2 linked regions of the Arabidopsis thaliana genome follow. The protein of the gene in region 1 interacts with the protein of each later gene in a pairwise test. Each region holds a gene or a part of one and is shown on either strand. Other genes may lie near its edges.

Region 1 (5,625 bases):
AATAATATTGCCGGTCGACGACACTTGTATTTCAAGTTTAAAATCCGTTAAAATTATAGTTAGCAAACCTTCCATCATCTTTTACCTTTACACATTTGTAGTATTTAGTGTCGTATCATTTTGTTGCTAGTCTCCATCACATCTACTACTACTACTACTACACTGAACAAGATCAAGCATAGAACAATCAAGAATGAAATAAAATTTTAAAATTATGCATAACTTGAAACTGTGACCCTAAAAACTTGGATAATATTAAGGACTTGGCGGCTCATGCTCTTTTTTTAGGCAAATGCTTTTTTTTCTCCATGTGTGTGTTTGACATTTAACCATAAGAAGTCAAAGAATGAATAAATTTTAAAATCTATTACTACATACTAAAAAAATTAAAATCCAATGAATCTAAAACTCATAAGGCAAAAAAAGTAAGGTTACACTTTTTGTGGCTGACCAATTAAAAGTATTAATATGTGATTTACTTTTAATAATCGCGCATGTAAGTTTTCCCACCGCAACATATCAAAATCCAGTTTGCACGTGAGAATAATTGGCTAAAAAGTAAACCTTAGCCAAAAACATGACTTATCTCAGTTCATCCCAAGTAAATAAATCAAAAATCAAATCTTTTAACGAGCTTGTTTTGCTCTTCTTATATAGTTTCTGGAAGAGTGATGTACAAAGGTTCTTCGCAAAGGAGTCAAACGTTCAAGATCTCATTATAAAGCAGAGCCAAATTCTACCACGAAGAAAACAAATCAAACTGTCTCAAAACACCATCACTATTGTCTTATCCGAAATAAGTGTCAGAAAGAGAAGTCTTAAGAGTAAAGAGAAAGATTCTATGCAATGAACCAAAATCAAATAGCAACAAAATAAAACCAAGATTACATTGAATGAAAGCTTGTAAATTTTGCAATCCCCCCAACAAGAACACAATCACAAGACACCGTTTTATTAATCAATTTTGCAAGACGACAAAAATGTCATACTTATATGGTTCCTCTATAAGCAGTAACTAATCAAGTATTGGCTTTTCTTAATCTCTATCATTTCTTCATTCTCCTTTCATGACATTCCTTCAAAGCTTGAACATCTTTGTAACACATAACAAACAACAAACTCTTATCAACATTTTGTCCGAATCCATCAGTTCTTTTATCAATCAGCCAACAATTCCTCACACATATTAACAATAATCCCAGTTTCGTTCGATTAGGTACAAACCCTAAACCCCTGAGCTCTAAACTAAAACCCTCAGATTTCAGAATTTACAAATTGAGATAGAGATAGAGAGAGTGACGTACGTTTTTGGCAAGATTTCCAGTCCCTATTACTATCAACAAGACAATCCTACAAAATCGGAGACAAACAAAATCGAAATCAATGATTTAAGGAATTTGATTTGGGGAAATCAAAGAGATGAGAAACACAAACCTGTAAAGATAAATAGAGAGAAGAACACTCCTTGAGCTGTTTCACATTCTCGTCATCGTCGTCTGCATCCATTTGATGATTCGGCGGAGGAGGAGGAGAAGGTTGCGTCTCGGAATTGGGATTCTCCGTCACTTTCTCCATTTCACTGCGAAATTTAGTTTCTTCAGCAGAGAAGAAGAAGATTCAGAAATCGGAAAGTTATTTTATTCTTTTGGGCTTTTAAAGTTTTTTAACCTAAAGCCCAGGCCCGTTTAGTTGGTATAAGAAGAAGCTTTCAGTCTCATGCATAAGTGGTCAACATGTAGATAAGTCCAAGAGTAGAAGTTGAACAAAAGACAAAGATTGTTGTCTCAAATGACTTCAGCTCCACTAACCTTTGTCGGGTCACTGTGACACGTGGCGTTACCCACCAACGTGGGAGCTATCACAATCAATAGAGAATAAACTACCAAACAAACAATTTTTGTTTTCTTGAATATCAAAGAAAATGTCATTGTTTTTGTTGCAAAATGGTGATTTAAATTTTTGTTCCAATTTGACAACTAAAAAGACATTAGTCTGTTAGTATTCTAAATTTAGGATTTTAAAACATTTGATCAAATTATGGAGAATATTCTCTGGCGATTTTCTGTCTGAAATGCAAAAATGGATATTTCTTTCGTCTAAGATTAAGAAAGAGAGAAGAGGCGGATTTTCAGTTAATAACAAGAAGAGAAGATGAGGTGGTGTAAGAGAAAACCAATGATCATGGTTACTTTCTCTCTCTCTTTCCTTAGTCTTTGATCTCTTCTCTCTTTCTCTCTCTTTCCCTTTTTTGTCTCATTTCTTGTCTCCAATCCATGGAAGGCCTTCGAGACTCATCGTCACAAACTATCTCTTCCACGACGTCGTCTTCTTCGTCTCCGTCCTGGTAAATTTTCTTTCATCTTTTCTACAAGATATACTGTTTGTTTCAGAAACATCTACAAGATTTGTATATGATTATGTACCGTGTCTCACAAGTCATCTCATATGGAAATATACAAACTCAGCGATGTAGACGTTGACAATCGTGGAAAACAATTAACTCCTTCTACAAGACGATCTCGAGCCGGCTTCTCTGATTCTTTCTCTTCTCATGGTAATTTATTAAAAACTGCATCATCATTAATTAGGTTTTATAAAGATCTCATTGACTTGAGATTGTCCTTGTCCTTGTCCTTGGCATGAATTTCGTTTTCTGTGCAACAGATTTATCATCATTCTGTCGAGATGAAGAAGTAAAAACATTCTGCCCCATCAAATCGGAATCAGACGATGAATTATTAAGGAGCATAGAAGCCGAAACTTCATCTTCCGTGGTGAGCACGTCAGACTCATCAGAAACTCATCACCATCACCATCATCATCATTCGTCTGGAGGTCCCAACAACGGTCACTGGAGAAGAGGTTTCTTCCGTTTGCTTAAGAAAGGATCATCCGCAATGCCATTCAACACGTTCACACCTCTCAAAGGAGTTCCGAAACTGACCAGACGGAAGAGCAAACGCATAAGGGACAACATGGTTCCCGTTATACCTGCTCTTGACACTGATCACTTGTTCTATTTCAAACCCTCCTGGAGGAACTTCTCTCTCCGAGATATTCAGACCGCGACAAATGACTACAGCCGTGGTCCGGAAACCTCTAAAGAACCCTTGTTATACATTTTCAATAGATAAATACTATTTTATGCAGTGATGTAACATGAAAACATGTGGATATTATGGCAGAAAATCTGATCGGAGAAGGAGGATATGCGGAGGTGTATAAGGGACAAATGGCAGATGGGCAGATAGTAGCGATAAAGAAGTTGACTAGAGGTTCTGCAGAAGAGATGACGATGGATTATCTGTCCGAACTAGGGATCATTGTTCATGTAGATCATCCAAACATTGCTAAGCTTATTGGTTATTGTGTTGAAGGAGGAATGCATCTTGTTCTTGAGCTATCTCCTAATGGAAGCCTTGCTTCTTTGCTCTACGGTGATATATAATTCTCTTTTGTTTGATGTTTTCAATGTCATCTCAAACTATGATTTGGATCAAAAACCAAACAAATATCCTTGTACCATTTTGTAGAGGCGAAGGAGAAACTGAATTGGAGCATGAGATACAAAGTGGCGATGGGAACAGCAGAGGGACTCTACTATCTCCATGAAGGTTGTCAGAGAAGAATCATTCATAAAGACATTAAAGCTTCTAACATTCTTCTCACTCAGAACTTTGAGGCTCAGGTAATTATTACTAAGAAAAACCTAAGATCTTCATACCCTAGTTTATTGTCTTTTGAAGTTATTATTATGAAAAAAGATTTATTTTGAAGTAATTTATTGATTTTTTTCGAACAAATGTTGACTATAGATATCGGATTTCGGGCTAGCGAAATGGCTACCAGACCAATGGACTCACCATACTGTATCAAAAGTTGAAGGAACATTCGGGTTTGGAATCTCTCTCTTTGTTAAAGATCATACACACTGATTCACAAATATCATGTGTTTTATATATATCTATCTTACATAATCTCTTATGTGTTCATCGATCAGTTACCTTCCGCCAGAGTTTTTCATGCATGGGATAGTAGACGAGAAAACAGACGTATATGCTTATGGTGTCCTGCTTCTCGAGCTCATTACCGGTAGACAAGCCCTCGACAGCTCACAACATAGCATTGTCATGTGGGTATGTGATGTGGCTACCTCTTCAACCATAGCTAGATAGAATCCTTATCTCGTACTTTCTTCAAAATCCTAGAAGGTTTAAAACTAATTGATCTGTTTTTTTCATTGTGAAATCCCTAACATATCTATGTCTTTGTAGGCTAAGCCATTGATCAAAGAGAACAAGATCAAACAACTTGTTGATCCGATTCTGGAAGATGACTACGACGTAGAAGAGTTGGACCGTCTTGTCTTCATAGCTTCCTTGTGTATACATCAAACCTCCATGAACCGGCCTCAGATGAGCCAGGCAAGCATATCAAAATATTCAATTCCATCATCAAGTTACATATACAGGTGATTAATTTGGTCACATATACAGGTTGTGGAGATTCTGAGGGGAGACAAGTGCAGCTTAGATAAGCTAAGAGAGCGAGAAAACTCCAAACTCCAGAGGACTTACTCTGAAGAACTATTGGATAACGAAGAATACAACTCGACAAGATATTTAAACGATATTAATCGACACATGGAGACCGTTCTCGGAACATCTAAGGATTAATTCTGAAATGTCCTACTTGCTAAATGCAAGACAAACATTTCATTGAGTCCATATATTTGTTCACTATAGAGTTTGTATGACTGCTGAGGATTGGAGATGAATCCGATCAGGATTGGATATTAAGTTAGTAGAGAAAAGGACTGAAAAAGTTCAATATTGCCTTAACATATATTGTACCATGGTGTATGTATTTGATCATGATCATGACGTTGTGTTCTTTCCTTTTTCCCCATATTTGACTTAAAACTATCGTTTTGTTATTTTCACAGTATGAATTTTGTTATTCGTTTCGTATTCACCTACTATTTAGGGATAGACGCGGATCAGATATCCTGAATTTTTATGGTATTCGTAGACCGTTTTACTATATTTGTATCAACAATTATTCGATCCACTCTACTCCAAATAACAAAAAGTATATAAAAAAATCAAAATTCAACTCCAAAAATTACAATGTTTCATAAAACCTAAAAGAAAAAAAAATACAAACATATAATAAATTCTGCCATTTCAAAATTTCTCAGATAATCCTTTTTCAAATGTTTCCACTTTAAACAATTTCTGTAAAATTTTCTTAAAAGAGCTGCTAATTAAGAAGGAGCCGGTTCGGTTCGATTCGGTTCGGAGCCAAAGTTCTGAAAGAACCGAAACGCAAGCGACGTATGCGTTTTGTCGTTATATCGTTAGGTAGAGCTTAAAGTTGTCATCACCGTTGAACACTTTCCCGAGAAAAGCTCTCTCATCTTTTATTTTCCCGGAAAAAAATAATTAAACTTTTACTCTCTTCCGATCTCCTTTCCTTGTACATCTAGATCCAAGCGGTATCGATGGCTCGACGTGGATTATTGATTTCGTTCTTCGCTATCTTCTCCGTCCTGCTTCAATCTTCCACTTCTCTGATCAGTTCTTCTAGCGTCTTCGTCAATCCTTCCAAAGTCAAGCAGGTTTC
Region 2 (6,652 bases), on another chromosome or scaffold:
TTGAAACTGCAAATGTTAAATTATGAATTAAATTAATTACTATAAAAAGAAATAATATAATGCTAAGTATTTATTTATAAAATTATAATCCTTTTAAATGTGTAAAAAATAATAAAGAGTAATGGATAATTAAACCCAGCCCATTAAGTTTCATAAGCCCATTTTACTCTACTGTCTTCTTTCTCTTTTTTTTGACAATCTTTACTTTCTTCTTCTAAGCTCTATAAGAGAGACCATCCTCCTCTAGCTTGAAGCAAACGAAAAGCTTTTGAAGAACAGAGGAACAAGAAGAAGAAAGATGTTCAGGAACCAGTACGACACAGATGTGACAACATGGAGTCCCACAGGTCGACTATTCCAAGTCGAATACGCCATGGAAGCTGTGAAACAAGGCTCCGCAGCAATAGGACTCAGATCTCGCTCTCATGTCGTCCTCGCTTGTGTCAACAAAGCACAATCAGAGCTCTCTTCTCATCAAAGGAAGATCTTTAAAGTCGATGATCATATTGGTGTTGCTATTGCTGGTCTCACTGCTGATGGTCGTGTTCTCTCTCGATATATGAGATCTGAGTCTATTAATCACTCTTTTACTTATGAGTCTCCTCTTCCTGTTGGTCGTCTTGTTGTTCATCTTGCTGATAAAGCTCAGGTAAATTGAGATTTTTGGGTTAACTTTTGAATTTTGACCTAGAATTTGCTAAAGGGTTTAGTTTTATGATGTGTGAGTATCTGAAAGTTTGAAGCTTTATGTAATTGGAGTAAAGTTTAGGTTTTTATTAGCAATGTGGCCAATTTTATTTGTAGAATGTGTGTGTTGTTATGCAAGTAGTGATATTGGTTTGTGATCAAGTCTTAGTGATTGGGAATTAGAGATTCTTGTGTTGTTAATCATATCCAGTTCTGTTGCTAGTTGCTTAATCCGATTAGAAAGAGTTAACCTGTATACCCACTTTGACGATAGAAGTGTATAAGAATGTGATGATTTTGGTCGTTTGGTTGTTTCTGTGTTGTCATCGTCTGTTCTCTTTGCTTGATAGAGTTGTTTTTGCTTGCAATTCTAGAATAAATATACGTCTTTGTTGATCTCTTTTTGGTTTTGTGGTTTTGACTTGTATTACTTTGCATTTGTTTACTTACTTGTAGTTGTAGTATGTCCTGGCCACTTTATTTACTTGCCTAATGAAGTATATTTTCAGTAAGATGTTGGTTTACAGTTGTGATAGAAATTTGTGCTACATGTTCACTACTTTTGGTGTTAAACGTAGTGTTCTCAAGTTAGATGATGTGTTCACAATTTTTAAAAGGTTTGATTGCTACGTCCCACTTACTTTCATGTCTGTCAAAAATTAAGTTAGCTGCTGTATCTACATTTTCAATTGATTTCTGAGAACGTATTGATATCAGTCTTGTAGTTTGAACAACACTCTGATTTCATTCAAATGTTAAGTCATTTGTTTGTCTTGTATTAAACATCTTCATAAATTATCTTTGAGCAGGTATGTACCCAACGATCATGGAAACGGCCTTATGGTGTGGGTTTGCTGGTAGGTGGATTGGACGAGTCAGGAGCTCACCTCTACTACAACTGCCCTAGCGGAAACTACTTTGAATATCAAGCATTCGCTATCGGGTCTCGTTCACAAGCTGCGAAAACCTATCTGGAGCGCAAATTCGAGAGCTTCCAAGAATCATCAAAAGAAGATCTGATAAAAGATGCTATTATGGCCATAAGGGAAACTTTGCAAGGGGAAACACTGAAGAGCTCGCTCTGCACTGTTTCTGTTCTAGGAGTCGATGAACCATTCCATTTCTTGGACCAGGAAAGCATTCAAAAGGTGATTGATACGTTTGAGAAGGTTCCTGAGGAAGAGGAAGATGCTGGTGAGGGTGAGGCCGAACCCGAAGCTGCTCCTGGTGCTGCTGGAACTGGTGAACAAGGTGGTTCAGGTGATCAAGATGTTGCACCAATGGAAATTTGAGCAAGAGGGAATGAGTTCAAAGTTGGATTTTCTAACCAATTTTCTTGTGTGTAGCTCTTTGATATGTTCCAACTTCCAAGTACAATTGTGGTTTTTATTCGGCTTTGTTTATTTAACAGCTTGGAACAAGGAGTTATTGAGTGCCACTAGCTTATGTTTAGTCCTACTTAAGTCAAATCTGTCACATGATAATAATAATCGGCGAATCGCCAACCTAGAGAGTGTATCAAACAGACACCATTTTGAATGAGAGAAACAGCGAGAGAAAGAATGAAAGATTAATCCAACTTTGTTTCTCTTTCTGCAAATTGTTCCTCGAAGAAATGACTTCATAATGCAACCATACATTATTGAGCAAGGATGATAAATCTCCTGCTTGCTCGGAAGAAAAGTTAAAACCAAAATAATATCTCTCTTGACCTTCCAGAGAATCAATCCTGTCTTGAAATGATTTCAACACACAAAAACAACCTGAGATTGGAATTAGAAGTACTGAGTAGACGGAACCTTGGCGACGGGTTTACCACCTGGTAAGACATTGTCGGGAAGAATCAACTCCGGTGGAGTTTCACGGGTAATCCCAAGCATTGAATCGTAATCCTCGTCCTTGCGTGCATACTTCTTCCTAAGCGCTCTCTCAACCTCGATCTGCTCAAATGACTTTGAATTCTCTGAGGCGTGAATCTGTGCGAGATTGATGTAATTCTTTGCTGACTGTGAGATGTATACTATCTCTTCATCTGTTAACTTTCTCATGAACTTTGCTGGATTTCCTCCCCACACCTGCCACATGAAACTGATAACTTATAGATATGTCCTTGTAAATATATTCTCAGGTTGACGGTTGAAGAAAGTAGTTCAAAAGCATAGCGATATAAGAAATCCGTCTAATTCCTCATAAAACATTGGAAACACAAGAACCCTCTGTTACTCCCAACTCACCCTTGTTTCATATACAAGTAGAATTGCAACGGAAACAAAGGTGGTTCTCAGATTTAGACGATATATAAATACTATTTACTCTTCTTTTTGATCAAAATATAATACAATTTACAGGCATATCATTTCATTAACTAATTCTGTATCAACTAAATTGTAAGCAAAGCAAAAGTGGATCTACTTGAAGAAGTTCAGCTGGTCAAGCCTTAGCTACAGGTCAGCGTAGGACTAAATGCAGCAGACTACAGCTGCTATTACTTGGTTAATTAGCAGTTCGTTATTAGGCTTGGTAGAGCTTCAGGGTCCGTGATAAGTAAACCTAGCTAGAGTTCTATTTTTGGTTCTTGATACTTTGGATTTTCTCGTTCAGTTTAGTGAGAAATAAAGCAGTTTCCAGTTCCAGTCTTATCACAAACTCCGTAAGCAGTAAACCAGAAAAGATAAAGTGGAAAGAAAGAAACCTCTCCAGAAGGGATTCGCGTGTTCTGTTTCACAAGAGAACCAGCAGCAACCATGGCATGTTTCTCAACCACCACACCATCAAGTAGTGTTGCTCCCATACCAACAAAAGCATCATCCTCAACAGTACACCCATGAATGACAGCACTGTGACCTGCTCCGTTTCATTTTACAAACAAAACCTTTAACTAACAATCGTGTAACACAACATAAAAACAGATACTTCAAAACTGATAAATCGCTTTTTAAGGTTTACCTACTGTTACATTGTCCCCAATCAGAGTAGGTAGAACCTTGCCACTTATGTTGGTCTTTGCAACATGTACAAGCGTATTATCTTGGATATTCGTCCCAGATCCAACACTGATGTTATTCACATCACCTGCACAAGTTAGAAACCCAGATTAACATACAATAAGTTTCACAGCTACTTCATGACACATTTTATCGACAGTACAATAAATCTATGTCCAATGATCAGGACAGTAACGTATAACAGCGATACAAGATTATTAGAAGGTAAAGAGAACTTCATTTCCTAAAACTAAACTATGACTACTTTGCACAATATACTGCTGCAAAATTTGGTACTTCTATCGAACCAAAGGCCATTAAGACTTTCTAGAAGTAATAAAGCCTCACCTCGAAGAACACAGCCATACCAAATCGACGAGCCTTTTCCGATCTGAACATCACCAATAACAGAAGCACTCGGAGCCACAAACACATCTTTATCCACCAATGGTGATTTATCAAACACATTCATCAACGTCCGATGCCTCGACACTGAAAACAAACACAAATTTCTCGAATCAAATTTTTTCAATCTAAGCCACAAATTTCTCCAATCAAAGGTGAAGACACAAATTAGAGATAACGAATTGGATCTAGGGTTTCAATAGAGAGTATTAAGTGGAAGGATCTGGAAGCTTACGATGTTCCTCGATACGGTGACTTCCTTGAAGAAGAGAACCAACGCGATCAAGAGCTTGACCAGTTCCACGAATCCAGTTACCCACAGTGTAAATTGCTCGTCCTAGGGTTCCCATTTTTTTGTGATTCTCCGATTACCCAAAGTGTGAAAATGAGAAGGCTTTGTTGTTTTTGGTGTCGCTCCACCAGATAGAGAGAGGTTTATGGAGGCGTATTGATGGGAGGATTTTTTTTTTTAACTCGAGTGAGTTCGTTTATTTTGTTGACCTCTAAATTTTTAGAGTATGGAGTGGTAACTGGTAAGCTAAACCAAACCGAAATTTATTGGTTGGACTTACAGAGATTGTGAATACAAAATCCGGATAGATTCGTTTTGCAATGTAAGGAGATGGAACAAAGCTTTCAGGAGACAAACACAAAAATGAGTAAAATAATTAATATAATTTAGCAAAGAAAATAAAGAGATAAAAATAGAGATATTAGCTTATATTGTGCATTGGATATTGGAAGTATTGCATAAAGCAAAGAAATAGTTTTTAGTATAAGGATTGGAAAAAACATTGTTTGTATCTAAAATGGGGTCAAGAATGTAGAAGATGGAGTTTCTTGGGTGTTTTTCTTGGAGTTATACTAGAAAGAAGTCGGGCAAGTGATATTTACGCGTGGGCGATTTCTCTCTCAAATTTTTTTCTTCTTATAATCACAATCTCTTGTTCCGTCAATAAGTTTTTTCGTTGACTCCAGCGACGAAGAAACCCATTGGGACATGGTGCTTCAACCGTGATCCGCTACATCTTCTCGGCAATTCAATCTATTCAAAATCAAGGGAGCAGTGGAGGGCAAATGCGGCATTAGGGGAGTGCAAGAGGAGCAATTGCACAGGATCCAAAAATTATTTGATCAAAATTAAAGGGTAAAATAAAAAAATTTATCAAATTTGAGGTCAAAAAGATAATTTTGACTAAATCTGAGGGCCATAATAAAATTTTAACTAAATGTAAGGGCCAAACTCAAAATATTTAGTATAAAAGGGCTAAATTTGAAAATTTGTACAGTGACAGAGAATATATTGAGTTGGCCCTGGTGGAGGGGAGAAGATTATGCGAGACACTGTCGGTAAGAGCTATATCGGTGGTGTGGCTTCACGGAGAGGAAGGATGAGACTTCACAGTGAAGAACAAGGGCTGACGGCGGTTAGGTCGGAAGTCTAAAGATTCTGGAGGTTTCATTGGGTCGCCGCTTGATGGGGGAGGTCGACTCCGCTTCGGTGAGGCTTTACCACCGTCGATGGTCTTGAGATCTACTCACTACTGCCGTCAACTCTCTCGACTGAGCTATGAGATTCATGACTATGGCAACCCGGATCGCCTCTTCCTCCTCAAAACTGCTCTACGGTGGCAGGAGGACAACGGATCCTGAATTACCATCTCCGTTCGACGAATCTCGTCTAGGCTCCCCAAAGGGTTTCTGTTCCGGTGAGATTCTGCAATTCTTGGACGGCGGCTCAGATCGTGTTTTACGATATGAGATTAGGATTTTCAACTTTCGGTTTAGATCGGTTTTGTAATAGATGGTTTAGTCTGGTTATATGTAAGTGGATTGAGTCTAAGGGAAAATGTATGAGCCTAAATCCGGAAATAGTCCATTGGACCTTATTTATAACATTGAAAACCATTTTACAAAAAAAAAGATGGAGTCTCTTTTCTTAGGGTCTCCACCTCTCTTTATAGTCTTTTCCTTCCTCCTATGTATCTTTATTTGGCCATTAGGTACATATCTAGCTCATAAAATAACTCTCATAATTAATTCGTAAACTTGAATGGCAAGTTTACTCCTTAAACCATGACCATTAATTCATAAATTTAATCACAAATTAATATCAAGATTTAACCACCTTTCTTATGCAAGATGTACATTCTTTGCTCTGTAAAGTGATGGAACTTGGATGCGTAAGATGGATTTGTCGTGCGCGATCCGGTATCAACATAAGCTTGAGTTCTTTGAGTAAGGTTATTTGCTTGAAGACTAATATTCTTGTAATGCTGTTGGATATGAATTTGGATTAAGTAGTTGCGAGGTGACCTGACAAATACGCCGTGAGAAGGACTTAGTTCAAGTGATTGCGAAGTAAACCCAACTTATGCATCATGAGATGAGCTCGGTTTGAGTGATTTGTGAGGTGGAATCGATATATGTGTCGCGAGCTGAAGAGAACATCGAATATGCTCTTTCCGAGTTGGAGCCTTAATCCTGAAATTTGTAACGAAAGTTGGTTACTAGAGGGGATATTTTGAGCCTTAGGTGGTTTGATGCCACCGACTAATAAAATATTTGCATGATAC

What was found.
Region 2: the proteins of AT5G18910 (region 1) and GAMMA CA2 interact in a two-hybrid assay, tested with the Arabidopsis thaliana proteins (one large-scale study listed by BioGRID).

Annotation. Positions count from the first base shown.
Region 1 is NC_003076.8:6,306,045-6,311,669, reverse strand, and holds AT5G18910 (Protein kinase superfamily protein), read left to right. Parts: upstream 1-2,091; 5' UTR 2,092-2,273; coding exon 2,274-2,344; intron 2,345-2,465; coding exon 2,466-2,554; intron 2,555-2,664; coding exon 2,665-3,087; intron 3,088-3,185; coding exon 3,186-3,437; intron 3,438-3,533; coding exon 3,534-3,688; intron 3,689-3,815; coding exon 3,816-3,895; intron 3,896-4,000; coding exon 4,001-4,136; intron 4,137-4,274; coding exon 4,275-4,424; intron 4,425-4,496; coding exon 4,497-4,676; 3' UTR 4,677-5,071; downstream 5,072-5,625. Other genes in the region: AT5G18920 (Cox19-like CHCH family protein), read right to left, coding at 1,255-1,350, 1,435-1,575; AT5G18900 (2-oxoglutarate (2OG) and Fe(II)-dependent oxygenase superfamily protein), read left to right, coding at 5,504-5,625.
Region 2 is NC_003070.9:17,318,922-17,325,573, forward strand, and holds GAMMA CA2 (gamma carbonic anhydrase 2), read right to left. Parts: upstream 4,564-6,652; 5' UTR 4,427-4,563; coding exon 4,312-4,426; intron 4,164-4,311; coding exon 4,020-4,163; intron 3,760-4,019; coding exon 3,634-3,759; intron 3,532-3,633; coding exon 3,380-3,531; intron 2,763-3,379; coding exon 2,463-2,762; 3' UTR 1,980-2,462; coding exon of another isoform or gene 1,497-1,979; 3' UTR 650-1,496; downstream 1-649. Other genes in the region: PAF2 (20S proteasome alpha subunit F2), read left to right, coding at 299-649, 1,497-1,979; AT1G47265 (uncharacterized protein), read left to right, coding at 5,647-5,877. UniProt on the Arabidopsis thaliana protein: Enzyme involved in the catabolism of H(2)CO(3) but that does not mediates the reversible hydration of carbon dioxide. Mediates complex I assembly in mitochondria and respiration. Binds HCO(3)-.